Linked DNA regions of Oreochromis niloticus. The main gene of each other region encodes a partner of the protein of the gene in region 2 in a complex. Links are inferred from orthologs where the notes say so. Each region holds a gene or a part of one and is shown on either strand. Other genes may lie near its edges.

What was found.
Region 1: the proteins of eif2s1b (region 2) and eif2b4 are in contact, whole or in part, in a cryo-EM structure (PDB 6O81), measured with the Homo sapiens proteins. The link is inferred for Oreochromis niloticus from reciprocal best matches to the Homo sapiens genes EIF2S1 and EIF2B4. Residues at the interface, in NP_004085.1 of Homo sapiens: Met30, Tyr33, Met45, Arg55, Arg57, Arg75, Glu79, Lys80, Tyr82; in NP_001029288.1 of Homo sapiens: Asn245, Glu246, Glu247, Arg250, Thr285, Ser520, Ser521, Asp522.
Region 3: the proteins of eif2s1b (region 2) and eif2b1 are in contact, whole or in part, in a cryo-EM structure (PDB 6K72), measured with the Homo sapiens proteins. The link is inferred for Oreochromis niloticus from reciprocal best matches to the Homo sapiens genes EIF2S1 and EIF2B1. Residues at the interface, in NP_004085.1 of Homo sapiens: Ala28, Glu29, Met30, Tyr33, Gly44, Met45, Leu47, Leu48, Arg75, Lys80, Tyr82, Ile83, Asp84, Arg88; in NP_001405.1 of Homo sapiens: Gly39, Thr41, Ile42, Gln43, Gly44, Leu45, Arg46, Ala47, Asn48, Glu70, Arg74, Ser77, Ser80, Leu81, Glu82, Tyr83, Ser84, Asp85, Tyr86, Cys89, Leu305.

What each region holds. Positions count from the first base shown.
Region 1 is NC_031980.2:8,799,936-8,807,375, reverse strand, and holds the start of eif2b4 (translation initiation factor eIF2B subunit delta), read left to right. Parts: upstream 1-4,402; 5' UTR 4,403-4,498; coding exon 4,499-4,520; intron 4,521-4,979; coding exon 4,980-5,017; intron 5,018-5,121; coding exon 5,122-5,302; intron 5,303-5,398; coding exon 5,399-5,614; intron 5,615-6,926; coding exon 6,927-7,009; intron 7,010-7,440. UniProt on the Homo sapiens protein: Acts as a component of the translation initiation factor 2B (eIF2B) complex, which catalyzes the exchange of GDP for GTP on eukaryotic initiation factor 2 (eIF2) gamma subunit.
Region 2 is NC_031980.2:14,224,387-14,231,347, reverse strand, and holds the start of eif2s1b (eukaryotic translation initiation factor 2 subunit 1b), read left to right. Parts: upstream 1-3,943; 5' UTR 3,944-4,103; intron 4,104-4,213; exon of another isoform or gene 4,214-4,344; intron 4,345-6,452; 5' UTR 6,453-6,454; coding exon 6,455-6,695; intron 6,696-6,961. Other genes in the region: atp6v1d (V-type proton ATPase subunit D), read right to left, coding at 224-302, 387-453, 829-932, 1,037-1,081, 1,164-1,231, 1,320-1,399, 1,683-1,800, 3,646-3,686. UniProt on the Homo sapiens protein: Member of the eIF2 complex that functions in the early steps of protein synthesis by forming a ternary complex with GTP and initiator tRNA. This complex binds to a 40S ribosomal subunit, followed by mRNA binding to form a 43S pre-initiation complex (43S PIC).
Region 3 is NC_031972.2:11,331,989-11,339,620, reverse strand, and holds the start of eif2b1 (translation initiation factor eIF2B subunit alpha), read left to right. Parts: upstream 1-4,525; 5' UTR 4,526-4,824; coding exon 4,825-4,837; intron 4,838-4,918; coding exon 4,919-5,020; intron 5,021-5,535; coding exon 5,536-5,672; intron 5,673-6,905; coding exon 6,906-7,022; intron 7,023-7,122; coding exon 7,123-7,235; intron 7,236-7,315; coding exon 7,316-7,384; intron 7,385-7,477; coding exon 7,478-7,553; intron 7,554-7,632. Other genes in the region: bcl7a (B-cell CLL/lymphoma 7 protein family member A), read right to left, coding at 1-37.

The DNA.
Region 1 (7,440 bases), about 5.4 Mb from region 2:
CTCCTGGAGCCATAGAAAAGGCCGATCTGCAAGGCCTGCTGTGGGCACAATCCACTGACCAGATACAGAGGAGGATGGGTGATCACAGGAGAGCTGAGGGTGAAGCCGGGGAGTGGTTCTCAGAAAGCAGAGGGTTAGTTTCATGAGCTTGGCTTTAAAGGGTGGATAAAAGGCAGAGGACAACTTCAGGGATGAGGAGTAAGGTTGGTCAGAGTTTTGTCTGTTTTTGAATCACTCTTGTGATTTCTCCTTCTAAAACTTTAGTTCACAGCGCAGGAAGAGACACATGTCAGGCAACAAAATCTTCGGGTTGCTGTGCTTGTGTGGTTTCAGCTTAACTGCAGCACAATACGAGTAAAAATCTGGTATCAAACCAGCTTTCTCTCACTTTTACTGAAGACACAGCACAACATGGCAGCCACTTGTGTCAGGTGAGGGGAAGCTGAGGTGTGATGCAGGAAAGAATCAGGAAATCTGGTGCCTCTCAGAGGAGTCATCCTAGTCTAATTACAGTAGACGAGACAGACTTTCTGGTGGCCATTTGGTTCAGAAGTGTTTAGATTTATCGAGGAAGTCACCACTTGTGAAGGAGAGGCGGACCGTGGCCTTCATCTTAACCCCATTTACTCACCGTGAGAAAACCACAAGAGGAGGCGCAAGGAGACCAGAGGAAGGTGAGTAAAGCGCATTTTTTAAAAATCAGCTCAAGCTATTTTAATAAGGGGTTGTGATTAAAATGAATTGAATTTTTTCCGCTTTTAAGGATCACTTGACACAACTGTCGGCATCACGTTGACTTGGCATGGCACGATGTTTGGGAAATAAAAAAAGGACGATGACCTTTGTTTGATGGGAGTCGGTATTTGCCTCACCCGCCTGAGTTATTTAAACTCATTTCAGCATCATCACACTGGCATTACCCATCAAGTATCTCCCAGTATGACCAGTCCAGTCATCTGTCAGTATCAGAAAATTCACTTTTTACTTGTCTGATAAAACAATGGTCAGGTTTAACCCATACAAATGAAAAGAAAGAAGAATTTCCTCTTCCTCGCTTCTAGTTTCATGGAGATGAGAGAAGCCACCATTCTCTGCCTCTTTCGCTCCATTTTTCCTTCACTCACTCACTCACTCACTCACTCACTCACTCACTCTGTCACAGTTAACCGCTGTTAAGCCGGTTCTTCCCGCTACTCTTCACGCGTGGCTATGAAAGGGTGCTTTGTGTCTCGAGGAGCAGCGAATCCAGTTGTTGTCCCTTGTGAGCACATGCTTCCTTATATCCCCATATTAATACGCCACTTATGGAATGTAAGGAAGTGTGTGGTTTCAAGGGGACCTGAGCATCGACGTGGACATTTCTCATATTGTTCTTTCATTTGTCTTCATTCAGAAAATTGTGTGAGGGTGTCTGTCTACTTTGTGTGTGTGTGTGTGTTGTGTGTGTGTGTGTGTGTGTGTGTGTGTGTGTGTGTGTGTTAGGGGGTGTCAGAGTTCATGAACATGTGTGTGTGTGTGTGTGTGTGTGGCAGGACAACAGGTGAAAGGCCTGTTCCCTCTCCTTCAGCTCAGGCACGTGTGCAGTTAGCATTACTCCCAGGGCCGCTGATCGGGTCTCAGGGACTTCTTGAAAAATTCCTGCCCTGCCCCAACTGCTGACAGTCAAGGAGGATTGACAGAGCACAGCTGTCACCCATTATAGCAACCGCAGAGCTCTCAAAAAGGGAAGAGGGGAGGGAAGGGCAGAGATGCAGGAGCTGTCACTGGGGGTGAAAGTTCGCTGCCGTGGGCTGGATTTGGAAGGAAACGGAGAGATGTCACCGGCTATCAGAGTTCTCAAGCCTCTAAATAGGAACTATTTGCTTGGTAACACGGAGGCACTTGTTCCTGTGCTGTAACTTCTCCTTTTCTCTCTCTGTGTGTTCCATCAGGTAAGACTGAAGAGGACTCAGCAGCCCTGACTGCCTGCAGATGATGTCCATCTCCTACTGTATTTCATCTTTCTCGTGTCCCTCTTTTTCCGTGACCTTTACCCCTGTAACCTTTCCTCTTGACTGCCCCTCCCCTCCTGCTCTCCCTCTTGCTCTGCCTCTTGCAGCTGAAGCAACACGCCTTGCTGTGGCTGGTCAAACGGAACCAAGTCAGGTGTTTCTGTGAGGTTTGGTCCCCTTCAACCAGCTACTGCGCCGTGAATTCAGTCAGCACACACCGGCTGGGAGTCAAACACGCAGTGACGTTGTGGTGTAGCGCTGCTTAATCTGGAGATGGTGAATAGAATAGATTATACAGCACAGATGCAACGTGAATCTTCTTTAGGAGCTCTATATTGATTGTTCATGGTAATATGTGACTAGAAACCAAATAAAAGATCACTGATGATGTACAGTGTTCAATTCCTGTTCTTCTGATTCACGTTCAGTCCATTCTGTACTTGAGGAAAGACACAAAGATACATTAAGTCTAGCAGCTGAGTTCACCTTATTCTGCAGAATAGACTCTGACCCAGTATGAGATGATATAAATATAGGGCCTAAAATGGCAGCAAAGTATAACTTAGTAAATTATTTAAACAGAAAAAGAGTGCAGGTGTAGCAGTGCAGGGATAGACACTGTAGCATAGATGGGAAAAGCTAATATTACAGTCTAGGCCAGAGAATTCAGTACCATGGATAGCACTCATGATGTATATATACAGTAATATGCTGTTTCTAGTTAGCTTGCCTTCTGTGTGTGGGTGTGGAGTGTACTCATGCCTGCAGACTATTTACAAACAGGCTGTGCAGAGGCAAGCCAACAATCTAATAACCCTGCGCTATATGAGCTACACACCGAGTACCACTCTGAGGTTTAAAATATCACTGTGCCTGGGACTAGAGCTAGAATAAATCTCTTTTATCCCAACTTCAAGGTCAGTTTTAAATGATGAGATAGGGATGCATCAGTAAAAAATGACAGATCTTTTTTCTTTTAGTGTTTACATGGATTTTACACTTTACTGTATAGGTCTATAAATAGGACATATGCTTGTGTCTGTGTATTTTTGTTCTTGTTTCACTTATATTTCATGTGTGTTTAAACATTTTTTATAAATACAGCCTGGGTGGAAACCTGATCCAAATTTCCTATAATGTGGTACAATAAAATCTGTCTTCAGTCTTTTTTGTGATGGAGGATAATATACACACAAAAATGACACTCCAGATGTCTCCATGAAAATAAACTTCCTCTAAGCATGCAGATGTAACGGGGATGCAAATAAGCATACAAAGAACAGCGCTGCACATCCATTACCAACTTTTTCACTTCAAACTTTTTGTCAAAACCAGCAAAAATCTGCTGCTGTTATTGAAATCACTGACCAAAAGCCAGGATGCTGAAGTTGTAATGCACTGAGTCATAATATAAACAGTAAACTGATAATTAACATCAGCGGAATAGACGGGCGATCTGTCCAGAGTTTACATACCACCTACCCGATGGATGGATGGATGGACGGCTGGATGGATGGATGGATGGATGGATGGATGGATGGATGGATGGATGGATGGATGGATGGATGGATGGATTTTCATTATGAACCTTTGCCCTTATCATTACAGCAAAGTCACCAAAATAACATTCCTAATCAGTCCAGTTGTAGTTTGTAGTTTCATGTTCCTTGTTAGACAAAGGAGCAGATACCAGTTCTGCTGGTGGGATAAGGACCTTCCACGGCCTCGTCCAGTTCTCCTAGAGTAACTGCCTGTCTCTTGGAATCTCTTCCTTGCTGTTGATACTGTGCAGGGAGACACATCAAGCCTTCTGGCAATGTGACATTTTAATGCCAGAATTGGAAAAAAGGTTAGTGGCCTCCATCTGTAAAATAATTACTGGGGGGGTGTCTCATTGTTTTCTCTCTAGTGCACCTGTTGTGAATTTATTCACACCAAAACAGATAAAACTGATCAACAACCCCCTCTGCTGCTTAACTGACCAGATCAATATTCCAATATTCAATTCAATATTCAATATTCCCTCTATGTATTGCACAGTGATTCCCTCTACTGTGCAGTCACTGTGCAATACTTAATTCTATGTGCAGTAACCAAAACAGTATATACAAAACACTATTTATTTATTTCCCCTTTTAATGTTCATATGTATAATACTCAGAAGGTTTTTTGTTTAAAGAAATAAAGGAATGCTCAAGACTTTTTCACAGTAGGCTACTGAATGATGTAGGAAGTTTGATAGTTTTAGATTTTTTTCAAAGAGTCTACAAGTTGATGTAGCAAGTCCTGCCTTAAGAATCAAATGTAAACATAAAATAAATAACAGTATGTCACTGAGTGAGCCTTAATAACACCCATTAAGCCTTAATAACACCCATTAAGCCTTAATACTATTTGGAAAATGGACCGCACTACATACTCATACAACGTCATCCACCAGGGGGCGATATACGTTTCTATGGCAGTAGTTTCTACAGCAGATGAGGAAGTGAAGCAGCATCGTAAACATGGCTGACAGTGGAGTGATAGGTGGGTTTCAGAGTGTGTAAATAGCTGTAGTTCATTTGGTTTTTCCTTTTGGTTCTTATTCTTTAGTTGTAGGAGTTACGAAGAAGTATCTCATACTCACAGCGCTTATTATGTAGACTTTGTTATTAGCTGGTAGCAAAGTTAATTTCCCAGATGCTAGACCTGCTAACGTTAGCGTCGAGAGCATGTAAACGGTACTCATGCCGTAGACACGGAGAATGTATTGCATCATCTTTTCGAGTAGTTTTAAAATATACAATACGCATGTTTCTCGTTGTCACTGTGCTGTGACGATGATGCACTACACTAGTTTTATTACTGGTTTCGCTGACATGGTGCAAACTAAAAGCAGCTAACAGACTCGACCTTAGTATCACCGCCTCTTGTGGGAAAAGTAACAGAAGTACGTTATAATGATAAATAATCTATTCTTATCATCCTCTGTTGCTTGTGTTACAGATGGACCCGGGAGGAAAGATGAAATTGAACGCGCAAAGGTTAGTCTAGGTGTTTTCTTGACATTTATTACAGCCTTTTGTGTGCATAAATGCTTTCCTTAATAATTAGGTTTTTCTTGACGCCTCTTCCTGTCACGTGACAGAGTGAAGGCAAAGACCTAACCAAGGAGGAGAAGCAACGGCTGAGGAAAGAGAAGAAACAGCAGAAGAAAAGCAAAGAGAAAAAAGATGACAAGGCATCACAGGAAAATGAGAAGGAGAAGAAGCCGGTCACTTCAGCAGCTCCAGCATCCCAGCCTCCGACAAAACCCACAATGCAGAAAGGTGCCTCCCATTTAGGCAGCAGCAAGTGTTGTATCTGGGTGTACAGTGTGATTCATTCTTTACCCTGATATCTGTGTCCGTTTTGGTCTTTGTCAGCTCCTTCAGCAGTGCCTGCTACAGCACCCGTTTCTGTGCCTGCCTCAGAGGCTTCTGGGCCTGCGGACAAACCGGCAAAGACTAAAGCGGAGCTGAAAGCTGAGAGGAGAGCTCGGCAAGAGGCTGAGAGGGCCAGCAAACAGAACAAGAAGGGAGAGACAGGACAGCAGGCGACTACTAGCAAACCAAAAGCTCCGCCCAGTGATCTGCAGCCAGGTACTGCTGTTGCACCTACGATGACAGACATCTTTTGGATAATCTAACTTGAAAAACTGCATGCACTGTTGAGCCAAATCAAGTAGGAACAACAGACAGCTACCTATAGAACCTTGAGAAGCTGTTTGTGCCAACACAGAAGCTGCATGGCTGTGGAGGGCTCCTAGTTGGCTGTGATAAATACCGACTAACAGTGATTAGTGATTGTTGTAGGGCCAAACTTTGGTCTAATGATTGGCTTCAGCGAAATATGCTGAAACAAGACTGATTGGTGGTAACTTCAACCAACAATATGCCGGTACCAGTGAAGTGTTAAATGTAAAGGCCAAAGGCCTGTTCATGAAGCAAATTCAACATACCCTGAGTATCTTTCTCTTAACATTGACAGTCAGAATAAGCACTCACATGAAGCTGGTTATCAACACACTATGTTGGTTTTCCCTTGCGCGTTCACATGATACTGGTGGCAATGGTAATAAGTGAATCAGCAGTAGAGCGACTGATTTTACCAAGGAAGGTGAAACTGTACTGAAATATGGGAAAATATGAAGACGTTAAACACGTAATAAAGACTGAAAGCAACACAGTTGCTGCAGACAAACCAGCAATATGAGTGTGTGAGAGAGAAAAATGACTGTAGTGTAATAATATATTAAAAGTGTAAGCTTTAAGTGCTTTGACCAGTAAGACAAGACGAAGCCTGGGAAGAAAACTGGCAAAAATACCAGCTCTGCAAAGTTAACAGACTTATCAATATGAGAGCTCTTTCATTAACACATGGGTAAAGAGTAAAGAATAAATATAAACACAGAATTTGAATGTATGTGTTTTGTTTTCAGATTAACAGGCAAAAACAGGGAGCAGAAAATCAAGAAAAAAGGTGTTTCTGAGAATCTATATTTATTACGGATTTATTACTAAAAAACATTACACTGTTATACTACTACTACTATTACTATATCTACACATTGAGGTCTGAGGGATCTTCCAGGAATGGTGGTGCTATTTTCTAGAGGATTGATTGGTTATTAGGCAGTTTTACATGTGTGTTGATCTCGAATGTGGAGCATAACCTGCTTTGTAGTGCAAGTTACCATGGCGATATATCCTTATCGTGGCTGGTAAGAAGTGAACAAATTGTAGTAGAGAAAGTCCACGGTTAACCGTGTAATTACCTGGATAAGATAAAATCCTGCTTCGCAGTACAGGCCTCAAAGCTATTTAGCATCTCCCCAAAGGATCAGCAGAATGTAATTCAAGTTTGTCTTAATTTTTTGGCTCGTCAGAATATTAACACTCTTTGCATTTTCAGTGGTGAAGAGGCTCCCAGAACACATTCAAGTGGACAACCCAGACGTTTTAAAGAAACTTGCCAAGAAGTTGGAAAGACAACAGGTCAGTATTGTTATGAGGAACTTCTGAACACCCTTAAAAAAAGATTCAAGACACACCGGATACACACGATACACAGTGATTCTAAATAACCTTTAGATTTGTTGTAAGAATGGATAGATTCATGGGGAAATGTTTGACTTACTTTATGAAAATGGCTTGATCTTGGATGCTTAAAGTAACTATTTTCTATGTTTGAATCTAACATACTGTATTGTAAACAAATTCAGTTGATTCAGTTGAAAAAACACTGCTGGTATGTTTACAACATGTTATATTGGACAGAAGTGTGACATTTCCTGCAGGTGCATGGTTCGTTTTTGGAAATCTAAGCTTTTACTAGTTAAATCTGAGACATTCTCTAATTAAACAAAAGTCAGTCAGGTGTGCACATAAATAGAATTCCTGTTATTTGCCCAGTAACTCCAAAATAA
Region 2 (6,961 bases):
CAAAGCAGAGAGCAGAGAACATTCTGTGTTATAACCAAAAATTGAGGATTGCGCAGTCTGGTTTTGGACTTAAGTTGCTGGGGTAGTGACAGAATGAATTCGGAGCTGTGGACAGCCAGCTGGAACAAGAATATCTAATAAACATGCAAAAGATGCCTCCTGATAAGTTTTTTATAGGTTTATGCACTAAAACCTTCACAAGGCAGACAGAAAACATCGTCACCTGTAAAACTCCTCTCGCTCCCTCTCATCCAGCTCTGTGATGATGTAGGTGAGGGTGCGATCAATCCTGGGAATAATCACTGCAAAGCGGATTCAAAATTATTTTAGCTGCACCAACCCTTATTTTATTTAAAAGGCTGCAGTTGAATGTTAAGTGTGTTTACCGTGCTCGATGGCGTTCACACGGCGGTTGGTGATCTTTATGGCTTCATCCAGAGTGACAAAAGATGTCTGCAAACCAAAATTGAGCAATTTTTAACACTTAAACTTCAGCTTTTCTAGAGTATAGATTACATTTCATCTGCATCTGTAATCCACACAAACTCAGTGTAATGAATGTATCCTTTGTGGAAATGTTATAGTGATATGCCACACAGCAGGAATACACAAACCATAGCGGGAGACGCTACCCCTTTGTCTTCATGAGTTGTTTTGGTCATTTAGGATGTGAGCCTTTGATTATACACTCACATTATGCACAGTTACATGTGAGATCATCAATACAATTTTAGTTTCATTGAGTGACGTTACATTGTGCTTTTTTCAATGATAATACCATCACCCTAACTATAAAGCATGCTTTTAATATGTAACAGCGCCTCCTACCTGTAAGGAGGCCAACTCCACAAGCAGCTCCACAGCTCTGGCATAGTTCCTCTTCAACCTCGAGAGCTGCTCTCCTCCTCTCGCCAAACCGGTGAGCTCATAACCTGACAGACACAAACACATCGTGGGGTGAGGAAGAGCGCTCTCTGCGATTCCCTTCAAACCCAATGTAGAGTTACACCAAACTCAGACATGTAACTGGACTTACTGTCTCCGCCTTCTTGGTAGTGTTCGAATACTGGAAGGGTGACACCTAAAAGAAGAAAAGCAGCAGATATTTTAAACAAAACAAAACAAAAAATGATTAAAAATGAGAAGATATTTTTGATGCTAACCTGCCACATTGTCTTTCTTGGCTCTGACCTTCACCTGGGCTTTGTTAACATTCTGGATTACAGTTGTGCTGTAGACAAAAACAACAGATGGAAGTTGTTTGTGTTTCTGCACCAGAACACAACATCACGTCGCTGACACGTTATTCTCATTCTTACCTGAAGTCTCCTGCAGCAAATTTAGCTTCAGCCAATGAGAAGGCAGCCTCCCTCATCACCTCTCCCATCTTGGTTTTAGTCTAAAAGTATAAACACACCTTTGGGAAACACGCAGCTGAAAGCCTTCATGAAGATTTTATTTCATGAGGTTTTGATTCAGACTGGCTGTAATTTGTTGGTTCATAACAATGAAGGTACCCAATTAATTACTATAGAAACACCTCTTAGTATCAGATTAATTGACCATTATCATGAGCTACAGCCTCCAACCAAAATGCATGATGTATGAATAAAGTATTTATCGCATCATCTGTTCTTTCAGACTGTATTAGGACCAAAAATGAAGGCTCATGTTAAACTGACTTCAATAATTTTGCGAAGGATCTGACGGAAGCGCATGGAGAGGGCATCGGACTTCTTCTTGAGCAGGTTGCGGCCGGTCTGTGCTCCCTTCAGCCGAGCCTTCATGATGGTCTGAGCCCTGCAAATCCAGAGAAACCCACATATTTTTAACACTCTATTTGAATCAGACAGTTAAATTAGGGGTAAAATGACACAACCAAGTTTCATTCATTTCATCTCCTTGTCATGTTTTCACTCAGACCTTAGGCCATCCCAAGGTCTCTGTCTCTCTTCCCTGGTAGTTGATACCCTCACCCCAGTTTTTTTTTTTTTAACCGGCATTTCAGATTTTCCTCTTTTCTCTCTCGACCTCTATGCTTGTTAAAGCTCTTTTTTTTTTTTTTTAATGGATTTGCTTCTAATTTTCCACATTTCATCATTTTATGTCATATACTGGTTCAATGGGTCATCTCTGAAGGACAGGAACAGCCTTAAAAACATTATTAAAGACGTATACTCCAAGAGTACCAAGTCCAAAGAAATGTGTAGTTCAGAAAGAAAAGGGTCTTATTAGTCAAGGTGGCCACATTCTCTCTAGTGAGTTTATTTCAATGCCCTCAGGGCAGGGCTATCATGCACCCATGAAGACAAAAAAACCACTACTGAAACTCCTCTGTTCCCTCTTCTATCAGGCTACTAAATGCTAATTGTCAAGAGTAGTAGTTTGTTCTGGAGCACCAGTGTGGTTCACTGGTTTTAGCAGGCAAACCTGTATATTATAGGGCTATAGTGTGGAGGCCTGGGTTCTAATTCAACTGGCCATTTGCTGGCTTACCTTAAAAAATGAATAAGTAGTAGTATCTGTTCTTCTCTTTCATCTAGCTAATGCATAAGTCCATGTGTTGTAGTTCTGGTGGGAGACCTTACAATGAGCTCCTGACAAGTTGAATTTTATCTGCTAAATAGCTAAGTAGTTGTAACTCACTTGTTATTGACTGCTCATTGACTTTTCATTTAAATTATCATGACTGATAACTTTCAATTTAAATAAAGGCTAAATAAAAATTTCCAAATCACAATCTTTCCCCAGCTCTTTCCAGACTTGAGCAGGTGACTCATATGCAATAAGGCTGCCTTAGGCCTGCGCTGGAATTTAACATGGCTCCATAGTGTAAAGGTTAGAGATCCCTGGATTAAGACCAGATAAATATGGGGATCCATCCTCTGTGGAGCCCTCTTTGTGAATAAGGGAGCAGCCGAAAACATACAGCCATCAACATTCAAGCCCACTTTTGTGTCACATTACTCACAGATTGTTACATGTTAGATTGTTAACGATGTCATCCTGATCGTCTCTAATATAAATTTACTACGTTGCTCTATGCTGAATCCCTTCCCATCCTGGAAGAGAGATCCCATTGATTTTCCTGAGATTTCTTCTGTTTTTTACCATTTCAGAATTTTAGAAATTTTCAGAATTTTCAGAATTTTTTTTCGGGAGGAGATCTTATCTGAACCAAGAGTCTACGGACAGAAGGTGTTACATGCTGTAATTTGTGTAATAGCGTTATTTTTAAAACAAGGTAAGGATCAACACAATCTGCACCACTCCTCTACATACACAGCTCACTGATATTTGCACCCAGGAGCTGATGAAAGGGTCAAACCTCTGTGTTATACTGTTTCAGTGGTCGTAAATCTAATATAACTGGATGCAGGTGAAATTAGGTTAAAATGAAGTCGCTCCGACTGACAGCTCACACTTGGATAATGTGAGAAATATCACATGACAGCAGAAGGATTCTTCCTCTTTTAAACGGTAACCTTGGCACAAAACAAAACGGCGATCCCTGCTTTTCAAATGCATGCAGAAAATTATCCACAACTTTCATATATAAAAGCAAATATGTCAACAAAACAGTGGTATATGAGCTTTAAGGAAGCTACATTGCTTTAGCAACTAGCCATCGCACAAGCTGCTTACATTCTGGAGGGGAATATGTCGATCCTGTCTTTTCCAGACATCTTTCCGTTTTTTGTCGATTACTGCGATTTTCAGTTCACTCCCGCTTCCCTAAATCAACACTACAACTTTAGCTTGAATCCTGAATTATTAATCTAGACATATAACAGCTAAAATCTCGCTCTTCGTGTAGGATTAGAAGAGCAGATCGAGTTGACGGTCGTGATCTTGTCGGCGATGATCAGCTGGCCCTCCGCGTCATGTGACCAAAGAACCAATCTCGTTCCGCACATGCGCGCGTGTGGAAGGTCCCTACGATCTTTTCCGGGTCGACAAATTAGCACACCCATGAATGTGAGCTAGCGGGCCTGAGTTACTCATTAAAAAAAACAAAACACCAGAAAGAAAACCGAATCTGACATTTAAACAAAGTCAGCACGGAACATTCAGGCGCGTCGTTCTGTAACCTTATGACACAGGTGAGTTTGTTTTATGAAGATGTCGTTTGGCGGGGACTGGGGAACGATCGGAACTGGCAGATAGCCGGCTAACAGCTTAGCCTGCGTGTGCCGCATGTGAGCTGGGCACCGGGTTATTAGCTGGGAAGCTAACTGATGTTGAAAGAAAGCGTTTCTGCGCTTGAATGAACATTCTTCTCGTGGTTTTAAATGTGATAACTAGGAAGTCATACAGTCGCTGGTAACACGTACTAAATATTTGGTAAGCAGCTTTTTGTGTCCATATTTTGTCGCCGATTCTCTATTTTAAACAGTAAGTGATTTTTCTGCGATGATGATGCGTTACATCAGTCCATTCACAGCAACAGGGGAAAAAGACAAATGGCAGAAGTTTGTTTCATTTCCCTGCTTTTATTTTATGTCCTGGATATTTGTATATAAGCTAAACCTGGGCTTTGACTTTTGTTCAGTGGGAAAACATAGAAACACAGATAAGTGGCTCCATTCAAACGGACTGGGACTTTTCGTTTAATATTAAAGGTATCTCTCTACTATTTTGTCCACACCTTTCTTGATAGTAGACTAAGGATTAGAAAGAAAACATCTTTATGGCCAAAGTCTTTTTACAGGTTAAAGCCTCTAAAAATGACCGCAACTAATATTTTAAAATCTGAGTAAAATAGAAAAAATGATACTTTTCATTACAGTGTTCTTCCATAAACGGATGTCTTTACTGGTAGCTGAATATACTTCATGAACAGGCACTGCAGTGTATAGTTAAAATACTCTGATGTAGAAAGGGATTGATGTTAATTGGCTGACTGCAGCATTTTTCAAACTCAGAGTACTTGTGGTTGCTGACATTGTGTCCCAGTTGCCTGTCTGTGGCCTGCATACCCATGATATCACATCAAGGTGGTTATCATCACAATAAGTTAACACACAGTTTATCAACTCTCAAAGAAATGGACTAGCCATATACCAGCCCAGATAGTGGGTCCTGGAAGATGAGCCGACTCTGACCCACCAAAGAGGCATGGCATTCGTAGTGGTTTACACAAGAGGAAGGGAGGAGACGACTATCACTAGAGGATGATTTATATGTAAATGTTAAACAGAGGCACAAGATACAATATCTAGAGTCTTAAATCAGGAGTGTTGAGATCAAAGAATGGGAAAACAAAGGTGATAGGATCTAAGGGTCAAACACTCCAGGGGGTAGGCTGCTGTCCTCAGGTTACAGGGACAACAGGATGTTGAAAGCAAAAGATTTGGGGAATAGTAAGTCTGTCCCCATATTTGTCATCTCAATCTAGCTACAAGTGCGCTTACATAAGAGAGTTGGCATTGGCTGCATCCAATCAGTCATAAACCTGGATAAGCCTACTGCCAACAGGGACGTTGATTTTACAGAGGAGAAAACTATGATATTAGAAGAATATGAAGTGGTCATACACATAATACAGGCTGAAAGCAGCACAGCTGCTGCATACCAGTCCAGGAGATCTTGAATGGAATGATGACGCTGTTTCAAGGAGAGTTTGTTTGGTCATTAGGCAGTGATTTCATACAAGCTAATCTAGAAGTTAACATGGTGATGTGCCCTGGTAACAGGGGATTTGTGCTTCTGTGTTGAAAGCCTATGTTGTAACCTGACGTGTAATTAGACATTGTGTGGATGCAGCCCACAACTATTATGATTGTTCTGTATTTTTGAGTCCTCTTGTGTATTTCTGACTACTTTTTCACAGCATAGTTTGTATTTTATTAGTGAGAGAATAATAATGCCTCTATAATTTGTGGCTGACCCCACATATAAAACACTGATTCACAACCATTAAGTAATTAACACGTAATAGACCGTGCACAAGCATGAATGGATCATGGGTCCTGCTCCCTTTAGGGGTCACCACACTAGACCCTCTCATTCTGTTTCTAGCATCTGCTCTGTCACATGCTCTGCATGTCTCTTTCACTACATCTAAAAGGAGGATTGTCAGAGGGATGGTGTGACAGATTATTCACAAATTACTATAATTGAGATTAAAAAAGACAAAGAAAACCAGAATGAAATAATTTATACATGGTTCTCTGCTAATTTAATGTTGAGCTTTGATTGTGTTTAGTTGTGGGACTTCTTTTTAAACAACCTTTGGTGAAAACTGAAGCAGTGGAGGCAGAGATGCTAGTTACAAGTTATTGACCATTTTTTATTAACTAGAAAAAAAATTGTATTTATTAGTACTGAAACACCAAGTTACAGGGCGAGCAGTACTTTTCACAGTGTTTAAAACTGCAAAGTGAAGATTTGTGCCATGACTTGCAGACGTTAACCTCCCCCTGTCTTCTTAACTGTTTCTGACCTCACAGCAATGCCGGGGCTCAGCTGTCGATTTTACCAGCACCGGTTCCCAGAGGTGGAGGATGTCGTGATGGTGAACGTGAGGTCCATCGCTGAGATGGGCGCCTACGTCAGCCTTTTGGAGTACAACAACATTGAGGGCATGATCCTCCTGAGCGAGCTGTCGCGTCGACGTATCCGCTCCATCAACAAGCTCATCCGCATAGGCCGCAACGAGTGCGTGGTCGTCATCCGAGTAGACAAAGAGAAGGGTGAGTGTAGACTAATATAGTTGAAACTGGTGGCGTGTCGGATCTGCAGTGCCAAAGTGCTGGTGGAATAAAAACCATATGAAATGAGATCTTTTTGTGTGGTCCACATTTCCTTTTTTTGAATTGAAGTGTTATTCTGTGACGTCAGGTGGACTGTGGTTAGTAATATGATCAATAACTTACATTAAGTTATAGCATTCACCAGTTTAATATCAGGACAGTCTCACATGACACACAGAATATCTAATTTGGAATAATTAACGGGG
Region 3 (7,632 bases), on a different chromosome or scaffold from region 2:
TGCTCCGGGTTTCAGCTCGGACCGACCTGCCCGACATTGCCGCGGTGGGTATAATATTTTTAAAGCTCGCCGGCAGCTCAGACACAATGCAAACAGTAGAGCGCACAGAGGAGCCAATTGCGCCTGCGCGGGTTGATAGAGCAGCGAGAGGAGGGGGGGGCGGAAGGCTGCAGCTGCACTCAGAAGAGCCGTCTCCCTGCTGAGCCAGGAGGAGAACAAAGAGGCTGCAAGCTGCCTGATGTTCTGTACTTCAGTCCAGCCAGAAAACTTAACGCTAAAACTAGAGAGTGTGCGAGGAAAAGACGAAGAAGATGATTCATATTTTTACTCTGTTTGATTCATTATTGTTTTTTGATACTTTGAATAGACTGGCCTCGAGTAAGAGTATAAATGTCCCCCACGTCTTAACACAAGACTGAAAAACAACAGCAAAATTACACCACTTTCATTCTGGCAGCTTCTGTCCCGTGTCTCTATTTGTCACTTTGCGTCTCCTTCAAACATCTGACATGTCTTTAGTCATTATGTGTATTTTGGCCTTGTCTTGCATCCGTCAGTCATTTTGAGCATGTCTCAGGAGCTTTGTGTTCTTTTCTTCTTGCCTGATATTGTCATTTTGTGTCTCCTGTTCTGTCCTTGGTTTCATCTCTTTCTGTCACAGATTTTAAATCTCTTTATAGTTGTATTGTGCCTCTGTGGAGTCTATTTGGACTTGTTTTGCATATCTTTGATGTCACTTTTCTGTTTCTTATTCAGTGTTTCTTATTTAGTGCCTCCTTGGCCTTGTTTTGTATGCCCTCATAATGTATATAATGTGTATTGTATTGCTTTTATTGTGTCTTTTGTGCATATTATGTCCCCTTTTTGACTTTTCAGTGTCCCCTTCTGCCTTTACATTTTTTATTTTTTACTCTGACAATTTTTGACTCTCCTTTGTCGTAATTTTGAATCTTTTTATTCAGTCTTTCTTTGTTTTCACTTTCAGTTTTTGTTCGCTTTTTGTTATTTTATTGTCATTTAAAATTTTTTTTCCTCACTTCTTGTTTCTTTGTTTCCCTTCAGTTATCTTTATTTAAGTTTTTTCTGGTAATTTTTCTCCAATTTTTGCTTCTTTCTTGTTATTTTGTTTATTGTGTGACACTTCAGTGCCTCTTGGTGCTCATTTTGCATGTTTTTCAAACTGTTTGTCCTCACTTTATTTCTTTGGGGTCATTTTGACTCTTTCTTCTTAGTTTCGGCTGTTTGTTGTCATTGTGAATACCTTCCTCCACTGTCCTCACCACTTTTCATGCAGTTCAAAGCTCACCTGTGCAAAAGACACTAAAACAATCAAAACGTTTTTCACATTTGTCAGAACCCGCAAAGTCAGACAATCACTTCAACTCTGTGATGAATGAATAAAAACACTTTCACCACTTTTTGTAACATTTAAATGGCTTTTATCTTCATTAAAACCTTACACACTTTGGAAAGTATTTGAGAACCTACTACCTACTGGTACCTACTGACATAACCATACCCGGGGTTTACAGAGAGTGGTCTGAGAAAGAGAAACTATCCAGTGAGCGACATTTCTCTGGGTGAAAATACCTTATTGCAAGAGGAGAATGGCCTGGATATTTTGAAATGAAGGCAAAAATAACTCACTCGAGGACTTGTGTTACAAACAAGACATGCAGAACAGCATCTATGAATGCACAACACATCAGATCTTGATGCAGATGGGCTACAACAGCAGAAGACCACACCAGGTGCAACTCCTGTCAGCTAAGAACAGGAAACTCAAATTGCTGATGAATGTTTCCAGCACTTTGTTGAGTCTATAACACACAAAATTAAAGCAGTTCTCAAGGCAAAAGGCAGTCCAAGCTGAGATTTTATATGTTGCATCTTACAAAGTGGCCGTTGGGCATATAGTATGCATGCATGTAATTAGCAGTGCCTTCACACAGGACTGTATGTATTTCTATCTCTTTCAACTAAACTTCTGAGAATGCGCTTCCACCCAAAATACATTTTCACTGCTAACACCAAGAGTGTGTGACTGGATTTGCTCATTTTAACATATTTGAAAACAGTTTGAAGTAACTTGATTGAAAACACTAATGCAGTGCTGGACAGTATTCAGGAAAGGGACAGATCTAAGGTTCTGACTAAGAAACATATAAACTGTTTTCATGAATTTTAAAATGTCATTGTGAGAAGTGCATCAACACCATAACAAATATCTCTAGAAGTGTATGTAGTCTAGTATGTGTAGAAACAATAGCAGTGTGTATAAAAACACTGAGATAAAAACGTGTGGTGATAAAAACGCTAGTGTGGCAGGGGAAACGTGTTACTGATTTTAGAACTGCATTAAGAAGTGAGAATGGTGTTTCTGGTGTGAGAATTGTGCCAAAGCAACTGAAGAAAAACTATAATTAATGACAAAGTTGGTGGTTGTTAGAAAAGAACCATGTGGCCCTCTGCAGTTGTAATTCAAAACTGCAGAAGGGCTTGGCCTGAAGAAATGGACAAAGACTTACTATCAAACTTTTTTTTTTCAGTTTGTTAAGTTTTATAATAATAATAATACTAACAGCAAAAACAAGTCTTCTTCTATTTTCATTTTAGAAGTCATTAAAGTGTATTGCCTACCTCTATCACATCCTATCCCTGGCATCCTCTCCACTCACACCAGGCCTCAGCATGTCTTCTTTCACTACATTGAAAAAAACCTCTGTGTGATCTTTCCCTAATACTCCTGCCTGGTGGCTCCATATTTAACATTCTTTGTCCAATATATCCATTATGCCTCATTTACACACTTCCAAACCATCCCAGGCTTTCCTCTTGAACTTTGTCTCCAAACTCCTGAGCTGTCCCTCCGATGTTCTCATTTCTAATCCTGCCCCTCCTAATCACACCCAACAAGGGTGAATCTTCAACTATGTCGCCACTCTTTTTGTCACCTCTCTTGTGCACTGCCCATTGTGAAGATGTTTAAAACTTCTGATTTTTTGCATTAGATCTAAACAAACTGCCTTTTCACTCTTCATTCTCTCCATAGCTGTCCTCATGTCCTCCTTACTAATCCTCTGGACTTCCTGATATCATTCCCCCATCCTTCACATTCTCTATTATTTTCTTCTTTCATCAGCTCCTCAAACTAATCTTATTTATCTTCTCACCATACTCTCATCACTTGTTAGCACATCTTTCCTTCTATGTGACAAATCACTGCTGCACATCCTTTCCAGCTCAGTCTCTCTCACAAATTCCCTTATCCTCACAAGTTCCCTTATCCTTAGCTCATTGTGAGGCTGTTAGTGTCCAGCCTCACACATGACACACAATGAGCTTTTAGCCTTTGGCTTTGACACCTCTCTTTTTGCCATACACCTAGCCTCCCAGTACTCCTGTCTGTGTTTTTCATTTCCCTGACTATTCCACTTTTTCTTTAATAGTCTCTTCCTTCACATACTTCAACTCCTCCCCAAACTCTGTATAACATTCTTCCTTCTTCAACTTTTACCATTTAATCTTTGGCTTTGCCTTCATGTGCTTATAAGCCATTAAAGCCAAGTGAGCCCACTAAAAATCATTACTGACATTAATTATCAAGTTTAATTTAATTCATTAACATTTTAAAATATGTATTTTGTTATGTGTATCGGTGTTTACATTTTTAGTTCATATACTGTGGTACAGGTTAAAGGTTTGGGAGCTATTTAGCTATATTTGAGGCTGTGAAACGTATCAAGATTAACTGGAAGTTGAATTATAGAACAATATCGAAAGTATGTGTTGACACTTCACCCTGTGTAAGCAGTATACTTAATTTCATAAATGACCCGTAATATTGCAGTGTAGTTCTATTAAGGTACATAATTATTGTAAATGTTAATTAATGTGTAAATGTTATTATATTATAACTGCTGGTATGAAGACATATTTCATAATAAACTTTGTTTTATGCTCTTGTACCTCTTCATGCCCACTATGCCCAGAGGACACTAGAATAAGAAACACTTATATTTCCTTTCAGTTACATTACAGAATGGAATAAGCAACTTACTTATTAGATGTCTGTGCTTTACTGTTCATGAACATGGATGGATCTGATACCAATACAAAGTTCAAATGGTTTCTCACCAGTTGTTTTGTCTCTGACTCTCATATGGTCTGGTTGTCTCCCGTTATAGGTAAGTGAATCTCTTTAGGATTTATATGTTTTAATAGAAATTTCTATCTCTCTGTTGTTGATTTATGGTCATTTCATTCACTTTGTGGAGATTCTGCATTACTATGTTACTATTTTACAATCTTTGCTGTTATTTTCTTTCCTTTTGAGGTTACAATATGAGCTATTTGCATCATTTTGAATCTTGCCACTACGGTCACTTTGCCATTTGTTGTGGTTTATAAAAACAAACAAACAAAAACAGAAAACAAAGAAACAAATAAACGAATGAAAGAAAAAAGAAGAAAAGAAAAAATCACATTTCCAACTTCACGTGAACGGCACGGCGTCTGGGAGACGTTTTTGTCCTACGTCATTACTCTGCGACACGTCAACCTGCCTTTTGCAGGATGAGCTAATGGTGTGTAAGTTGGAAATAGTGACAGGAGCAACTTTTAGACAGTGTTCAGTAGGTTTTTGCTTACATTCAGAGTGGGGCTGACTTAAAACAATATTTCGAGCGCTGTGAATATTTTCGTTTGAAAGAAGGAGATAGTGAGCGGAGTCAGCCGCTCTGGCATGTGTCAGAAAGAGTGCACTGACTGAAACCTGTAGAAATCTTCTGTGGTTTGCTTTTAGGCGCTGTTGTTGCTTTCAGGATGAACAACGAAGGTAAATTGCTTGATTTTAAAAATAAATTTCTGCTTTTTTGTGTTAGAAATATTAACTGCATATCTCTGTGCCTTGGGACAGAGCTGGTGGAGTATTTCAGGGATCAGATGAGGAAAGACCCGGACATGGCCTCTGCTGTTGCTGCCATCCGCACTTTGCTTGAATTCCTCAAGAGAGATAAAGGTTAGTGTTATGCCCTTGGTGTTAATACAGACACGTCTCGGCTTTTTCTTATTCTCGCTTGGATGTGGAGAAGAAGACCTGAAATTTAGCCTTTTTGTGTTTTCTCAATTTGTAAATAGTTTTTTTTGTAGTTTCTCTGGGATAATTATGTGGGCCAAGATCTGAAAACAGCATCTAGAGTGTTTCAAATATCTGAAACAGTGCTTTAAAAAGTTACTGAAGCTACTGAAGCCCAGATGTCAAGTCCAGTTTTAAATCTTATAAACAGCAAATGTACTGTTTATAAGATTTGGGGAAACCTGCAGTCAGCTGAGACTGAAGAAGTCACTTGGATGAGTGACGAAACGTTTCTCCCACAAAACGCTACGTCCAGATGAACAGATTCAACTTTTGGAGATCCAGTTTTAAAAAGAATTATTATTTTTTTCTACCATAAATAAAATAAAGATTTCACAGATTTGAAAGAGCACTGTAAGGAACTACTAGGAACTACAAAGCTGTCTCTTCCCCTTCAGGCGAAACAATCCTGGGGCTGAGGGAGAGCCTTACGTCAGCCACAGACTGCCTGACAGGAGTGGACTCCTCTGTGGCCGTTTCCTCGGGAGGGGAGCTCTTCTTGCGCTTCATAAGCCTCACATCTCTGGAGCACCAGGTGAGTGAAGACAGTTTGGCGTTGGAGATTTAAACATTGAACAAAATTAAGCGTGAATAACTTGAGTGAAATCATCAGAGTGCTACCAGATCTGTTGTATGTTATCGAGTCAGACCTTATGGATGCTGTGCAAGTGCTACTGTTCTCGAAAGAACTTTATTAAAAGAGACACTGCAGTTCTACAGCAAAGTTATGGTTCATATAGGAGAACAAATATCATCAAAGTAAAGAAAAAACTGTTAGGTGGAGGTGTCACAATTGGAAAATAGTTGTGATTATTTTTCGTACTCTTCTGCAGCTGATGGCTGGTTGAAGCCTGGAACTTACAGACATCACCAAAGAATGTATTTCGTCCTTCATGACGTTTGCCAGGCCATTACTGCATCTGTCTTTAGTTACTGTTTGTTTATGGTTCTGTATTTTGTTTTGTCTTCAGTGAGTGAAACACAGTTTGATCAGGTTAAGACAACGTGATTGACCCAACAGCTTCAGGATATTCCATTTCCTGACCATCAAAAACTCCAGCGCTACTTTTAGAGTGTATTTTGGATCATTGTGGGACTTTGCTGGATATGACTGGTTTTTTTTGCTGTAAGCAGACATGATAGCTCTGCACACCTCAGTATGCATTCAGCTCTGTCTGTTTTTCACATCACTTATAAAAATTAGTGACCTTGGAACACTGGAAGCCAAGCACACCCCTCCCATTTGCTGCTTCCACCATGTTTTATTGAGGCTGTTATTTGTCTCAGATTATAAGACATTCCAAAGCTTCTGTGCTTTGTTCTCTCCTTTCTACTGCAGGTTGTTCTTAGTTTCATTTGACCAAACTTTCAGCAGTTTGCAACTTTCTTGCGATCTTTGTGATGTGCTTGTTTTTTGCTGACTAGGGATGGCCTGTGTAAGTTGCTTTGAGATCTTCTCTGACTCTATATTCCGAATTCAAAGAAATGGCTTCCAAATGTTACACACATTGTCCAAATGTCACATTGTCAATTTTGGAACATCATTCTCCTTCCCAAAAAGAAATTTAAATCAAATTAGTTCTAGCACACATTGTAGATGCAAAAGTGCAAGATTTTAGAAGAAAGCACATTAGGAGGAACTTAGAAATAGCAGTTTTGCTGGAACTGCTATGGAGATTGGCTAGATTTAAAGAGGCTGCACCGTATGTTTGCATGATCAGACCTGTTATCTTAATCCAAGGCAGATGCTAACATTTATTTTTTTCAGGACCTGTCTCGCTGTAAGAAGGTGATGGAGGAGAGAGGAGAACTATTTTTAGAGAAGATCTCCATGTCAAGGACCAAGGTCGCCAAGCTCTGTCACACCTTTATTAAAGATGGCGCTGTAAGTACGGAACACAACCTAATTCTTGCTCTTTACAGGGAAAAGGTTCAGTGATGCATTTTTTTTTTCCTTCTCCCTGGCCTCTCCTTGTCTCTCTCAGAAAATCCTGACTCACTCCTACTCCAGAGTTGTCCTCAGGGTGCTGGAAAAAGCTGCAGCTGAGAAGAAACGATTCTCTGTCTATGTGACTGAATCGCAGCCTGACGCAGCTGGGTGAGGGAGCAGTCTATATACTGTATTCTAGTCTTACTCTGAAACGACACAGGCTTATTTATGTTCTTTTTTTTATTCAGGCAACACATGGCAGAAGCCCTGAGGAAACTCAATGTTCCAGTAACGGTCGTGCTGGATGCAGCTGTGGGGTGGATACAGATGTTAATAATATCTGATTTTAATGTCATGTCTCTTGTCAATGTCATTTGCATTAGTTTTGTATTTTTTGTCATTCTTTACAGATACGTCTTGGAAAAAGTGGATCTAGTCATCGTTGGTGCTGAGGGAGTTGTGGAGAGTGGTGGGATCATCAATAAGGTGTGTTCCAGTAAAAACTCAGATGCTCTTCAATTGAATCTAATTCAAATCAGTGTCAAAATGCTGGCTATTGCTTCTT